Linked DNA regions of Callithrix jacchus. The protein of the gene in region 2 binds, or shares a complex with, the protein of the main gene of each other region. Links are inferred from orthologs where the notes say so. Each region holds a gene or a part of one and is shown on either strand. Other genes may lie near its edges.

Evidence for each region. The genes of interacting proteins can lie anywhere in the genome.
Region 1: NCOA6 (region 2) and KDM6A share a complex: the UniProt entries of both Homo sapiens proteins name them as parts of the MLL2/3 complex. The link is inferred for Callithrix jacchus from reciprocal best matches to the Homo sapiens genes NCOA6 and KDM6A.

Annotation. Positions count from the first base shown.
Region 1 is NC_133524.1:45,984,616-45,992,197, reverse strand, and holds part of KDM6A (lysine-specific demethylase 6A), read right to left. Parts: intron 5,433-7,582; coding exon 4,654-5,432; intron 1-4,653. UniProt on the Homo sapiens protein: Histone demethylase that specifically demethylates 'Lys-27' of histone H3, thereby playing a central role in histone code. Demethylates trimethylated and dimethylated but not monomethylated H3 'Lys-27'.
Region 2 is NC_133506.1:4,478,378-4,486,520, reverse strand, and holds the start of NCOA6 (nuclear receptor coactivator 6), read right to left. Parts: upstream 5,106-8,143; 5' UTR 4,911-5,105; intron 1-4,910. UniProt on the Homo sapiens protein: Nuclear receptor coactivator that directly binds nuclear receptors and stimulates the transcriptional activities in a hormone-dependent fashion. Coactivates expression in an agonist- and AF2-dependent manner.

The DNA.
Region 1 (7,582 bases), on a different chromosome or scaffold from region 2:
AAAAAACGTACCAAATGGTAAAGACAATCAATGCAATGAAGAAAATGTGTCAACTCAGAGGCAAAACATCCAGCTAGCATCAAAACAGCAGGATCAAATTCACACATAACAATATTAACCTTAAATGTAAACAGACTAAATGCCCCAATCAAAAGATACAGACTGGCAAATTAGATAAAAAGCCAAAACCCATCAGTATGCTGTATTCAGGAAACCCATCTCACGTGCAAGGGCACACTTGAGCTAAAAATAAAGGGATGGAGGAAGATTTATCAAACAAATGAGAGCAACAAAAAGCAGGAGTTCCAATCCTAGTCTCTGATAAAATGGACTTTAAACCAACAAAGATCAAAAGAGACAAAGAAGGGCACTACATAATGGTAAAATGATCAATGCATCAAGAAGAACTAATGATCCTAAATATATATGCACCCAATACAGGAGCACCCAGGTACATAGAGCAAGTTCTTAATGACCTACAAAGAGACTTAGACTCCCACACAATAATAGTGGGAGACTTTAACACTCCACTGTCAATATTAGACAGATTAACGAGACAAAATTAACAAGGATATCCAGAACTTGAACTCAGATCTGGAGCAAGTGGACAGACATCTACAGAACTCTCCACCCCAAATCCACAGAATATACAATCTTCTCAGCACCGCATAGTACCTACTCTAAAATTGACCACATAATTGGAAGTAAATCACTCTTCAGCAAATGCAAAAGAATGGAAATCATAACAAACAGTCTCTCAGACCACAGTGCAATCAAATTAGAACTCAGAATTAAGGAACTAACTCAGAACTACACAACTTCATAGAACCTGAACAACTGGCTTCTGAATGTCAACTGGATAAACAATGAAACGAAGGAAGAAATAAAGAACAATAAAGAACAAAGACACAACACACCAGAATCTCTGGGACACATTTAAAGCAGCGTCTATAAATTTATAGCAATAAATGCCCACCAGAGAAGCGAGGAAAGATCTAAAATAGACACCCTATCACCAAAACTGAAAGAGCTCGAGGAGCAAGATCAAAAAAACTCAAAAGCTAGCAGAAGACAAGTACAACTAAGATCAGAGCAGAACTGAAGGAGATAGAGACACAAAAAATCCTTCAAAAAGTCAATAAATCCAGGAGCTGGTTTTTTGAAAAGATCAACAAAATAGACCACTAGCCAGATTAATAAAGAAAAGGAAAAGGAGAAGAATCAAATAGATGCAATAAAATAGATAAAGGGGATATCACCACTGACTCCACAGAAATACAAATGACAATCAGAGATTACTACAAACAACTCTATGCACATAAACCAGTAAACCCGGAAGAAACTAATAAATTCCTAGACACTTGCACCCTCCCAAGCCTAAACCAGGAAGAAGTTGAAACCTTGAACAGACCAGTAACAAGGGCTGAAGTTGAGGCAGCAATTAATAGCCTACCAACCAAAAAAAGTCCAGGTCTAGATGGGTTCACAGCTGAATTCTACCAGACGTACAAAGACGAGCTGGTACCATTCCTTCTGAAACTATTCCAAACAGTACAAAAAGAGGGAATACTTCCCAAATCATTTTATGAAGCCAAAATCATCCTGATACCAAAACCCGGCGGAGACTCAGCAAGAAAAGAAAACTTCAGGCCAATATCTATGATGAACATAGATGCAAAAATCTTCAATAAAATACTGGCAAACCAAATACAACAGCACATAAAAAAACTTATCCATCACGATCAAGTAGGCTTCATCCCAGGGATGCAAGACTGGTTCAACATACACAAGCCTATAAACATAATTCACCACATAAACAGAACCAAAGACAAAAACCACATGATTATCTAAACAGATGCAGAGAAGGCCCTTGACAAAATTCAACAGCCCTTTATGCTAAAAACTCTCAATAAACTAGGTATTGATGGACTGTATCTCAAAATAATAAAAGCTATTTACAACAACCCTACAGCCAATATCATACTGAATGGGGAAAAACTGGAAGCATTCTCTTTGAAATCCGGCAGTAGACAAGGATACCCTCTGTCACCATTCCTATTCAATATAGTATTGGAAGTTCTAGGCAGAGCAATTAGGCAAGCAAAAAAATAAAGGGTATTCAATTAGGAAAAGAGGAAGTCAAATTGTCTCTATCTGCAGAAGACATGATTGTGTATTCAGAAGACCCCATCATCTCAGCCCAAAATCTCCTTAAACTGATAAGCAACTTCAGCAAAGTCTCAGGATACAAAATCAATGTGCAAAAATCACAAGCATTTCTATATACAATAACAGACTAACAGAGAGCCAAATCATGAGTGAAATCCCATTCACAATTGCTACAAAGAGAATAAAATACCTAGAAATACAACTAACAAGGGATGCAAAGGACCTCTTCGAGAACTACAAACCACTGCTCAACAAAATGAGAGAGGACACAAACAGATGGAAAAACATTCCATGCTCATGATTAGGAAGAATCAATATCGTGAAAATGGCCATACTGCTCAAAGTATTTTCTAGATTCAATGCTATCCCCATAAAGCTACCAATGACCTTCATCAAAGAACTGGATAAAACCACCTTAAACTTCATATGGAACCAAAAGAGAGCCCACATAGCCAAGACAATTCTAAGCAAAAAGAACAAAGGTGGAGGCATCATGCTACCTGATTTCAAACTATACTACAAAGCTACAGTAATCAAAACAGCATGGTACTGGTACCAAAACAGATATATAAACCAATGGAACAGAATAGAGACCTTGGAGGCAACACCACACATCTACAACCATCCGATCTTTGACAAACCTGACAAAAACAAGCAATGGGGAAAGGATTCCCTGTTTAATAAATGGTGTTAGGAAAACTGACTAGCAGTGCAGAAAGCTGAAACTGGACCCCTTCCTGACACCTTACACTAAAATTAACTTCAGATGGATTAAAGATTTAAACATAATACCTAACACCATAAAAACCCTAGAAGAAAACCTAGACAGGCCGGGCGCGGTGGCTCAAGACTGTAATCCCAGCACTTTGGGAGGCCAAGGTGGGTGGATCACGAGAGATCGAGACCATGCTGGTCAACATGGTGAAACCCCATCTCTACTAAAAATACAAAAAATTAGCTGGGCATGGTGGCACGTGCCTGTAATCCCAGCTACTCAGGAGGCTGAGGCAGGAGAATTGCCTGAACCCAGGAGGCGGAGGTTGCGGTGAGCCGGATCACGCCATTGCACTCCAGCCTGGGTAACAAGAGCGAAACTCCGTCTCAAAAAAAAAAAAAAAAAAAAAAAACCTAGACAAAACCATTCAGGACATAGGCAAGGACTTCATGACTAAAATACCAGAAGCATTGGCAATGAAAGCCAAAATAGACAAATAGGACCTAATTAACCTCCAGAGCTTCTGTACAGCAAAAGGAACAATCATTAGAGTGAACTGGCAACCAACAGAATAGGAAAAAATTTTTGCAATCCACCTATCTGACAAAGGGCTAATATACAGAATCTACAAAGAAATAAAACAGATTTACAAGAAAAAAACAAACCCATCCAAAAGTGGGAGGAGGATATGAACAGATATTTTTCAAAAGAAGACATTTGAGGCCAACAAACATATGAAAAAATGCTCATCATCACTGAGTATTAGAGAAACGCAAATTAAAACCACATTGAGATACCACTTCACGCCAGTTAGAATAGCAATCATTAAAAAAATCTGGAGACAACAGATGCTGGAGAGGATGTGGAGAAATAGGAACACTTTTACACTGTTGGTGGGAATGTAAACTAGTTCAACCATTGTGGAAGACAGTGTGGCGCTTCCTCAGGGACCTAGAAATACAAATTCCATTTGATCCAGCAATCCCATTACTGGGTATATATCCAAAGGATTACAAATCATTCTATTATAAAGACACATGCACACATATGTTCATAGTAGCACTGTTTACAATAGCAAAGACCTGGAACCAACCCAAATGCCCACTGATGATAGACTAGACAAGGAAAATGTGGCACATATACACCATGGAATACTATGCAGCCATAAAAAACGATGAGTTTGTGTCCTCTGTAGGGACATGGATGAATCTGGAAACCTAATTCTCAGCAAACTGACACAAAAACAAAAAAAAATCAAACACCACATGTTCTCACTCATAGGCAGGTGATGAACAATGAGAACACATGGACACAGGGAGGGGAGCATCACACACTGGGGGGTCTGTTGGGGGTAGGGCCAAGGGAGGGACAGCGAGATGTGGGGGAGGTCAGGGAGGGATAACATGGGGAGAAATGCCATATGTAGGTGACGGGGGCATGAAGGCAGCAAACCACATTGCCATGTGTGTACCTATGCAACAATCCTGCATGATCTGCACATGTACCCCAGAACCTAAAGTACAATTTAAAAAAAAAAGGGGGTTAAAAAAAAAAAAAAGCAATTTACAGGATTACTTCTCAAATCTGATACATCAATTTGACCTCAACATCTAAGCATATCAAGGCTTCTGTCAAACTCTTACTTTAGATGAATGACTACAGCATGTTTTGCTTACTTTCCATAGCTTAAAAGATCCAAATTATGTTTCAGCATTCTTATCATGCCAGTAAGTCAAGCATTTTCACTTGACGAACTTTTGCACACTAACCTGCATGCCTTCAGAACTTCTGCTGAGCTGGGATATATGGACACAGACACTGATGGTATGATCTGAGGACTAGGTTTGTGGTTAACTAGAAGTAGATCTGTTTTCATGGGGCTCTGAGATTCTTCCATCCCTTCTCCATTAATTGTGTGTAGCCCACTGTGAGGGCTGTTAAGGCTGGTAACACTGTTTGTGGTTGTCTGCTCAGTGGATTTTGGAGAAGGTGTTGCTGTGGAAATGGCTGAAGATGGTGAAGAGGCAACAGAGTTATCAGTCTTTGTATGAACAGCTGGGTGGATGTTATTGACTTTGTCACAGGTTCCAGTACCCACATTGTTATTGGCTTTTCCCATCAACAAGGCAGAGAGCTGAGGATTGTCTGAACTTAGTAAACCTGGTGACTTAGAATCTCCATGGCTAGGACTGCAAACAGCATCTGCCGTCATCTGGTGGACATGATTAGGAAGTCCCTCGACACTGGCAGTGCTGTTAGGTGTCTCTCCAGCGTGCCTGCTTGTTTCAGGCACCGTCAACATGTTTCCTGAAGGCTTGCTCTCTTTGGTTAAGGTAATGCCTTGTTGTCCACCTGAGGTAGCAGTGTGAGAGGAGAGGTGATTGAGAGCAGCCCCCTGTGTTACTGAATTGCTAGGCAGGGTGGGATGTCCATTCTGATTCTGAATACCAGAGCCAGCTGCCTGGAGATGCTGGGAAGGCCCAGTGGAAGAGAGAGGTCGTTCACCATTAGGACCTGCCGAATGTGAACTCTGACCTTTGTGAAGCCCCTAAAATGAAAGAAAAAATAGTTTAAATCTAACATTAAGCAAACTCAGAGGGCATATATAGATTTAAAACATTAAAAAGAAAAGCCACTAAAAGTAAATATCTAACTATATAAGATAATTTGACCCAAGTCCTAAAAAGTTATCAAAAAGTACCTGTAATTTAGCTAATCAGTATTTAACATCTTTAGAGAAATTTTCCTTCCTTACTATCTAAAATGACTCCAATATTAGTGTAGAATAAACTACTTCAGATGAAGAATTACAAATTTTAAGTTTCAATATACATATTTTCATCTCTAAAAGCAGACATGGATAGACATTACAGATAGATCATTAATATTTAAAAGCCAATGACCACGGATCAACATAAACCAATTCTCATCAGTCTGTGATCTGTTAAAAGATTAAGATAGAAAGTGAGTTCATTAAAGCTTGAAAATTATCATTAACATATAATCTTCGGTAATTCAAATACTATTGTTAAAACAGCTATCCTCAAAATTAAGGACTGAACTATTAAATCTATGAAAATATTTAAAAAATACCTAAAGTTTCCCCATTTATCCATCCACACATTTTTAAAAGACTAGACAGGCTTGGTGTAGTGGCTCATGTCTGTAATTCTAGCACTTTGGAAGGCCAAAGCAGAAGGATCACTTGCGGCCAGGAGTTTGAGACCAGGCTGGGCAACACAATGAGACTCCGTCTCCACAAAGAAAAAGAAAAGGATAAAGAGGGAAGGGGAAAGAGGAAAGGAAAGGTGGCAGACAAGCTAGGTGTGGTGGTAAGTTTGCCTGTAGTCCAGCCACATAGCAGGCTGAGGTGGGAGGATCTCTGGAGCCCAGGAGTTTGAGGATGCAGTGAGCTAGGATAGTGCCACTGCACTCCAGCCTGGGTGACAGGGCAGAACCTTGTCATTTATTATCATTTTTTTTAAAAGGGGGGAGGTGGGGAACATTCTAAGTCTCCACTAATGACTTTGAGGTAAACTTCATTTTTCATCAACTTAATTTGAAAAATTAGAAAAATATACTGCTACTGTTAAAGCAATCTGAGGGAGCAGTATACTAACAGCCAATAGAAGTTTTAAGACCAGAGGAAGATCACTTAGGGCATTTAATGGAATAAAAATATGATAAATAGAACTAAGATGTATAATTTTTACCTGAAATTTGCCTCTGGTGTCACAGAGAAACTTCTTTAAGAAGAATATTTTCATTTCATTTTACTGACAAAATAATTAAATAGGATAGCCAATTTTTCAGCAACACTGATTAAAGTAACATTGGAATCATAAAACAATGATTTAATAGTTTCCAAATCATTATAATTTAAGATCAAACCTAGTAACATGTATGGGATTTACAAGATTATCGTAATTATATATTAACATATTTTATCTTATATTCCCAATAATAAATAGACCTCCATCTCCAGAAAAAATTTTAAAGCTGTTGCATTTTGAGTTGATTACTTCAGCAACAAGGTTAGAGAAATTTAATTTGTCATTAATAAGCCATAAAGGAATAAAAATATAGCTGATGACAAGATATTTATATATGAAAGGGTGCATTTAATCATCTAGTTAAAATCAGCTAGCACGCCCCTAAAACCAGTTTCTGAAGCTGAAAATTTTAAATCAATGCTTTTACTCAATAGGCTTATCTACCTAAAAAACTACATACATTATTGGCCAGGCACAATGGTTCACGCCTGTAATCCTAGCACTTTTGGAGGCCAAGGCAGGCGGATCACCTGAAGTTAGGAATTCGAGACCAGCCTGGCCAACATGGTAAACCCCCGTCTCTACTAAAATGGAAAAATTAGCTGGGCATGGTGGTAGGCACCTGTAATCCCAGCTACTTGGGAGGCTGAGGCAGGAGAATCTCTTTAACTCAGGAGGCAGAGGTTGCAGTGAGCCAAAAATCACACCACTGTACTTGAGACTAGGTGACAGAGCCAGACTCTGTCTCAAAAAGAAAAGTTGATATACATCAATGAGTGTGTTAAGGAGTGCAATTAGTTGTAAATGATTTAATAAGTAACAAAGTCCAATCATAATAAAGGAAGGTTAAAATTTGTAAGTTACATGAAAATTTCTCATAATGTAAAAATACTGCATATTATATCAATATTTAAAATATTATCCA
Region 2 (8,143 bases):
AAATGACACCTTAAAAGATTTTTTTTATAATAAAAAAATCTTTTTTTTTATTTAAAAAAGCAACAGGCTGGGCATGGTGGCTCATGCCTGTAATCCCAGCACTTTGGGAGGCCAAGACGGGCAGATCACTTGAGGTCAGGAGTTTGAGACCAGCCTGTCCAACACAGTAAGACCCCCATCGCTACTAAAAATACAAAAATCTGCCAGGTGTGGTGGCACATGCCTATAGTCCCAGCTACTTGGGAGGCTGAGGCAGGAGAATCACTTGAATGCAGGAGGCAGAGTAGATTACAGTGACCTGAGACGGCACAACTGTACCCCAGCCTGGGCGACAGAGCAAGACTCCATCTCAAAAAAAAAAAAAAAAAATTTTAAAAAATAAGCAAGAAACTGGGAAACGACATCTGTAATACATATCAACAACAAAGGATTAATAATCAGAATATATAAAGAAATCTTTTGTAAAAGACAACCCAGTAAGAAAAATGGCAAACCAAGTCCCAGCATTCTCTAATCTGTGTAAAGCTGGCATTACCACAGTTGCCACGCAGTACACTCCACAACAACAGACCTTGCCATCACTGACTGATATAAATATTCAGGGGTCTATGTTATGCTGCAGGTACACAGAGCATGGGGAATCAAGCCCAAAGGGCAGAGCCAAGACGTTTATTCATTCTCCATCGTATAGACATTGGATGGCAAATTAGAGGTTGATACCCAACATTCAGACACACAGATCAACCAAAAGAAAAAAAAAAAGACACATAGATCGGGGTTGGCAAATGTTTTTGTAAAGAGTATTTTCAGCTTTGTGAACCGACATAACACATCTCTGCCACAACTACTCAACTTTGCCATTGGTACCACAAAAGCAGATATGGACAATATTAGTAAACGAGTGTGGCTGTGTTCCAATAAAAATGTTATTTAAAAAAACAGATGGTGGGCCAGATTTGACCTATGAAACAGTTTGCTGACCCCTGCCTGACATGGACAGTTGTGCTTTTTCTACACTATAGGTAGGGTACTTCCCATGTTTTCCCCTGCCTTTTATGTCTGCTGACACTTACCTCTGATTTCCTTAACCAAAAACTACACCACACTTGACAGCTTTGCAGTGGTTTCCAAAACTCTTACTCTACCAAAAAAACCCTTTCACCCTTATTATCAATGAGAATTCTCCCCTCATTTTCCTTTCATTTAACCTCTTTGACAGCCATCAACCCAGAAAATCTAAACCAGAAATCTAAAAAAGTCACCCCTCTTACCACTCACAACGTCAATCATCAACACCTGAAAATTCTAACTCCATTCAATGCCCACAGCCTCTGCCTTAGTTCAGATCCTCTGTACTTGCCTGGTCTTCAGTCTACCCTCCTTCCAAAGATCATCCATGTATCTCCTAGAAATTAAAACTCCACTATATACTCCCCCTTTTGAAGATCTTGAATGCCTCTCTCAGCTGAGGATTCAGTCCAAACTCCTTAGCAAGGTCCTTCACAACCAGGCTCCTAACATGGGCTTCCTAGTCTCATCTCTGACCATGCTTTCACACACATCCTATGCTTCAGCCACATTCAATTAATGCATTCCCTGAAAACGTGTCTTTACCTGAAAAGCCCTTCTCTCCAATTCACTGGCAAACTCCTGTATCTTTCAGGACACATCTCAGATGTCACCCCTTCACAACACCTTGCCTGATACTTTGAGCAGAGACACACCCATCTGTGTCCTTATAGCATTTAATGACTCTTCTTTGGCATCGGCCAACCTGAGCTATGATTTTCACCTGTCTACTTCACTCATAGGGCTGCATACCCAAAGTGAAATGACTGCCGTAAAGACTTCTGAATCTACTGGAGCCCAGCATAATGCTTGATACGCAGTAGATGCCTTGAGGCACAGTAAATGTTTGTTGAATGGAAGACATGTCTGGTAGTAGGAGTTGGGTTTCTTAACCTGGGGGTTCACAGACCGGAATCTATAAATAGGACTTCAGTGAGGTTTGTGAACTTGGATAGAAAAAACAAAATTTCTTTTACTAACCTCTAACTGAAAATTACCATTCTATTCAAATATGACTGTAGGTAACATACCATTCTAGTATTAGGAGTATCTGTGACTCTGTAACAATAGAAATCTCAAATATCTTTATTTTTTTGAAACAGAGTCTTGCTCTGTCACCATGCACCAGGCTGGAGTGCAGTGGCACAATTTCAGCTCACTGCAACCTCCACTTCCCAGGTTCAAGCAATTCTCCTGCCTCAGCCTCCCGAGTAGCTGGGACTACAGGCACACACCTCCACACCCAGCTAATTTTTGTATTTTTAGTAGAGACGGGGTTTCACCATGTTGGCCAGGATGGTCTTGATCTCTTGGCCTTATGATCCACCCACCTCAGCCTCCCAAAGTGCTGGGATTATAGATGTGAGCAACCGTGCCCTGCCCTCAAATATCTTTATATTATACTACAGTTGTTGCATATAATCTTAAAGTACCCTTTAAGCGCATCATATCTTTGAAATTATAATTATCGGATCCATCACTAAATATGATTTCTTAATGTGCTGATAAACAAGTATATGCATATTAGATTTTTATAGTGTAGTAATTGTATTTCAATATAATTGGTGTTCCTTATAATCCAATGTATTTTATTTTATACAATTAAAAATATTATTCTGAAAGGGGTCCATGGCACAGATAAAGTCAGGTCTTCCAGCATTAGAAAAACCCAGAAAAGGCTCACACCATGGTGGCTCACGCCTGTTAATCCCAGCACTTTGGGAGGCCGAGATGGGCAGATCACTTGAGCTCAGGAGTTCAAGACCAGCCTGGGTAACACGGTAAAACCCCATCTCTACCAAAAAGAAAAAAAAAAACAAACCCAGAACAAATGAATTGTGTTACTGTATATACATATGATATTGACGATCTTATTTTATATATAACCCTTTTGTTCATTAATTCTCTTTGATTATATGGGGCCCTGGACCTATTTTTCATGACTGATTTGCATATTTCCTTCAGACCCATAGTCCATGCAAACTTTGAATTCTTCTCTCACAGGATCCAACTTCGATGAACACAATATAGACTCTGGGTCTCTACCATTGTTCACTTTTCTTTTTTAGGATTTTGTGTTCCTTTATGATAAACACCTAGAAGAGAAGGCATCTCTTTTTTTAAGACAGTATCTTGCTCTGTCGCCCAGGCTGGAATGTCATGGCATGATCACAGCATGGCTCATTGCAGCCTTGACCTCCCAGGCTCAAGCGATCCTCCCACCTCAGCCTCCTGAGTAGCTGGGACTACAGATACAAGCCACATCAGATGGCTAATTTTTTGGCCTTTTTTGTAGAGATGGGGTCTGCCAACTCCTGGGCTCAAGGAATCCTCCCACCTTGGCCTCCCAAAGGGCTGGGATTACAGGCATGCGCCACTGTGGCTGGCCGGAGCATCTCTAAAAACTCTAGAAAGTTAGAAAGTATCAAAGATAACTTCTTTGCACAATTAGAGACGAGCCAGGAAATACCAAGTAACTGTATTCCCTTCGGCCTTTGCATTGCCAAACTCATTACAGGAACAAAACAAATTTAATTGTTCTCTGGTATATACTGTTACGCTTCATTTCTTGTTGTTTTTGTTTGTTTGCTTCTAGTTTCATCACAAGAATGTTACGCTTCATTTCTTAACACCTTTCTCCCAACCAGCAAATTCCTTTAAGGAAATGTGTTTAAACCACTTCCAGTAGCCCCTCTGCCACTAACTTATAAGATCTTGAGAAGTCAACTTTACCTTTCTATGTTTCAGCTAAAATCACTACCTGAGTTGAAATCTTTACTTGATCTCTCAGGTCTTTGTAGTTTTTATACATTCACTCTTCACCATTTTACTGGCTTCAATAACGCCTTTCTGATGACCTCTCCAGGTGACCCTGCTCTTAAGCTGTGGGCTGTCCCATTCCAGGGAAGACACCTTGGGTCACCGCCCCCAAACAGGCGGGTTCCTCCTTTTAAAGACACACACAACTCCCAAAGTTGATGTAGGTTTTCTCCTTTCTTGCCAACCAGTTCTACTCTCTGTACCTCTTTTGCTGGCCAGCTTGCACCCAAACCTCAGTCCCCCTGTTCTCTCCTCATCAAACACCTTTTTCCTGTTGCTTCCCCCAATAGGGGGTGGAGGATCCTTGGGACAGAAGTCTTCAGAGCCTTGTGAGTTACACAGCTTTGCAATTCAGTTCCACTACCCCAAGGACTGCCCAATCTGATACCAGCGTCTGGATCCAAAGGGCCCTCATTTCTCATCAATCGCCTCCGTCCTTTCCCGCAAAGAACTGTTCCAGCCCTGACAGCCTGAGCCTGACCCCAAGCCTCCACCCCAATCCCCAGATCCTACCAGCACTAGGGCTCTCTATACACCGCCTAAGGCCTAACCCAGTTCCACGTCCTGCCATCCTTTCAGCCCTTGGACCCCAATCCCGGTTCCTTTCGGTCCCGGTGTTCCTTCTCGGCGACCCTGACTACGACCCCACGACCCCACGACCAGCTCCCGCCAGTTCCCCAGGCCTGAAGCGCCACCCCGTGCAGACCCCAGCCAGCCCTGCACTCCCTCAGTGCACCGGCCCCCGCGCCCAGCACCCTCCCCACCCCGCCGGGCCACCGCTCCCTCCAGCGCCCCCGCCCGCAGGCCTAGGGCCCGCTCCCCAACATGGCGACTGGGACACCAGCGCGGCGGGCGGGGCGGCTCCGGGCCGGGCCCACACTCGGACCGTGCAGCACGGTCGCCGGGCGCCATTTTCCCGCGCCGGGCCCGGGCGGCGCCTCCTCCCAGCAAAGCCAACCCGACCCGGACCGCGGACGCCCGGCGGGCCCACCCCTTACGGGCCCGCGCCGCCGTTGCCTCACCTGAGCGCGGCCCCGGCCCTCCCGGGCGGGCCTTGGAGCGCCGGCCCGGGCCGTGCGTGCCCGCCGCCCTCCGTGCGTTCGTCCGTCAGTCCTCGCGTGCGCCCGTCTGTCCGGCCACCCGCGCCCGGCCGCCCGCAGCCCGACCCGGCAGGGCCTCACGGAGCCGGCGGGGAGGGGGATGGGCCGGACCGGGCCGGGGAGGGAGGGGGAGGGAGGGAGAGAGGGAGGGAGCGCGAGAAGGGGCGGGGCGGACTCGAGGGGCGGGGCATCGCCCATGTGACCAGACGTTCCCGGGAGCGCGAGGTGGAGCGCGCGCCAGCTCGCTTCGGTGCTGAGTGCTTAGTGCGGGTGTATCGTGGGTCTCTGTCGACTTCCCAGGGCTGTTCTCCCGCCAGTGAGTCCCACTTCGGAAGCACACACGGCACAACGTTTTGCGAGCGCTCTGGCTAAGTACCCTTGGACGTGGCAACTCCAAGCCTCAGTTTACCTATTGAAATATGGAGAAATTCATAGTGCTTGTTGAAGAAGAAATGGCGGGGGGCATGGAAAGCACTTATCGCAGTGCCTGACACATACTGTCTAATAATAAGCTTAATGGGGATATAGATAGAAGCTTTCATTATTAGTTGCCTCCAAATCCCTCTCTTCTTTTTCCCATCATTACCTCCCTAGCAAGCGAAATGCTCAGTTAATAGAATTCTTGATCGAACAAGTGAGTGTGGCCCCTCCCCTCTTCCCAAATGTAGAAAGGCCTCCTCAGCACTGGACTTGATGTCTGTCATTCAGGCCTGCATTCATATCTGGCTTTCACTCTTTTTTTAAATTTTTTTGTTCTTTTTCCCACACTACACTGATGTATTTTTTTAATTTTTGTGAGTACGCAGTAGGTGTATATATTTATGGGGTATATAAGATTTTGATACAGGCATGCAATGCATAATAATCACATCATGGTAAATGGGGTAAATGGGGTATCTAGCACCTCAGCATTTTTTTTAAAAAAGATGGTGTTTCACCATGTTGGTCAGGCTGGTCTTGAACTCTCGACCTCAGGTTATCCACCCACCTCGGCCTCCCAGAGTGCTAGGATTACAGGCATGAGCCACCGTGCCTGGCCGCACCTCAGCATTTATCTTTGGTGTTACAACCCAGTTATATGCTAGTTATTTTAAAATGTGCAGGTAAATTGTTTTTTTACTATCATCACCTTCTTGTGCCGGCAAATACTATGTCTTATTCATCTTATTTTTTGTAACCATTAATCATTCCCATTTCCCAGCCACCTCCCACTAACCTTCCCAGCCTCTGGTAACCCTCCTTCTACTCTGTATCTCCATGAGTTCAATTGTTTGAATTTTTTGCTCCCATAAATAAGTGATCACATGGGAAGTTTGTCTCTCTGTGTCTGGCTTCTTTCATGTAACAAGGACCTCCAGTTACATCCATATTGTTGTAAATGGCATGATCTCATTCTTTTTTAATGGCGGAATAGTATTCTATTGTGCACATGTACATTTTATTTACCTATTCATCTGTTGATGGACACTTAGGTTGCTTCCAAATCTTGGCTATTGCGAACAGGGCTGCAGTAAACATGAGAGTGCAGATATCGCTTCCGTATACTGATTTCCTTTTTTTCTGGTGTATACCTAAGAGTAGGATTGCTGAATTGTATGGTAGCTCTATTTTGGCTTTTGCTCTTGATAGCTACCCTTCCCTCTCTGAACTTCAGCTTCTTCATCTGCAAAATAGGAGTTAGGGGGCTGTTCTGAGCATCACAGGAGATGGAGGATGAACAGGAGGATTGTAAACTAATTAAACAGGTCAGTCCTACTGGTCCCATTAAGGAAAGGGAGTCAGGAACCCTTTCATTCCATAAATATTTATTGAGTACATACTGTGTGCCTGGACTGGTGTAGTAGATACCCACCATCTTTTCACATCACCCTGACTGCCCTCTAATCTATTCTCCACGCTGCTGTCGCAATAATGTTTCTAATGATCAGAAATCTGATTATGTCACTACCCTACTTAAAAGTATCTGATGATGGCCAGGTGCAGTGGCTCACGCCTATAATCCCAGCACTTTGGGAGGCTAAGGCAAGTGGATTGCTTGAGCCCGGGAGTTTGAGACCACACTGGGCAACATGTCAAAATCCTGTCTCAACAAAAAATAGAAAAACGGCTGGACTCAGTGGCTCACACCTGTAATCCCAACACTTTGGGAGGCCAAGGTGGGTGGATCACCTCAGCTCAGAAGTTCGAGACTAGCCTGGGCAACATGGCGAAACCCCATCTCAACTAAAAGTACAAAAATTAGCTGGGCATGGTGGCACACACCTGTAGTCCCAACTATTTGGGAGGCTGAGGCATGCAGCCAGAATCACTTCAGCCGGGAGGTGGAGGCTTCAGTGAGCCGAGATCACACCACTGCTCTCCTGCCTGGGTGGCAAAGTGAGACCAAGTCTCAAAAAAAAAAAAAAAAAAAAAGACAAAAACAAAAATTAGTGGGCATGGTGGTGCACACCTGTGGCCCCAGCTACTCAGGAGGTTGAGGTGGGAAGATTGCTTGAGCCCAGGAGGTTGAGCTTGCAGTAAGCTGAGATGGTATCACTGTGCTCTAGCCTGGGCAATAGAGTGAAACCCTGTCTCAAAAAAAAAAAAAAAAAAAAAATCTGATGGCACTTCATTGTTCTTAAGATAAAGGCTAAATAAATGTTGTGCCCCTCACCTCTCTAGATTTATCCCCGGGCCCTCTTCCCCTTTCTCTGGGTTGGAACTACAGTGACATTTCTTACACATTGTTCTCCCTCCCTTCTAAGCACCCTTGCACATGCTGATCCCCCTGCCTCCAATGCTCTCCACACTTAAATAACTCATCAGCCTTCAGAATCCAGTGCAAACAGGGCTACTCCAAGGATACCTTCCCAGACAGGATCTCTTAACACCATGTACTTGTCCTTAATAGAAGGTACCAAGTCATTATTACCTGTCTTTGCCACTGGACTATGGAAGGAAACCTCATCCATTTTGTTTACTACTGTTTACTGAGCACGTAGCACAGTACCTGGCACAGAGTAGGTGCTCAATAAGTATTTGTTATGTTTGTGACTTCTAAGCACCATACTAGGTATTGGGCCCAAGAGGGCAGAGAGGAGCAAAGAGAACCACAGGCAACCCAACAATGGGGCACCTTAGACCTTTGAGCCTATGGAATTAACACCAAAGAGATT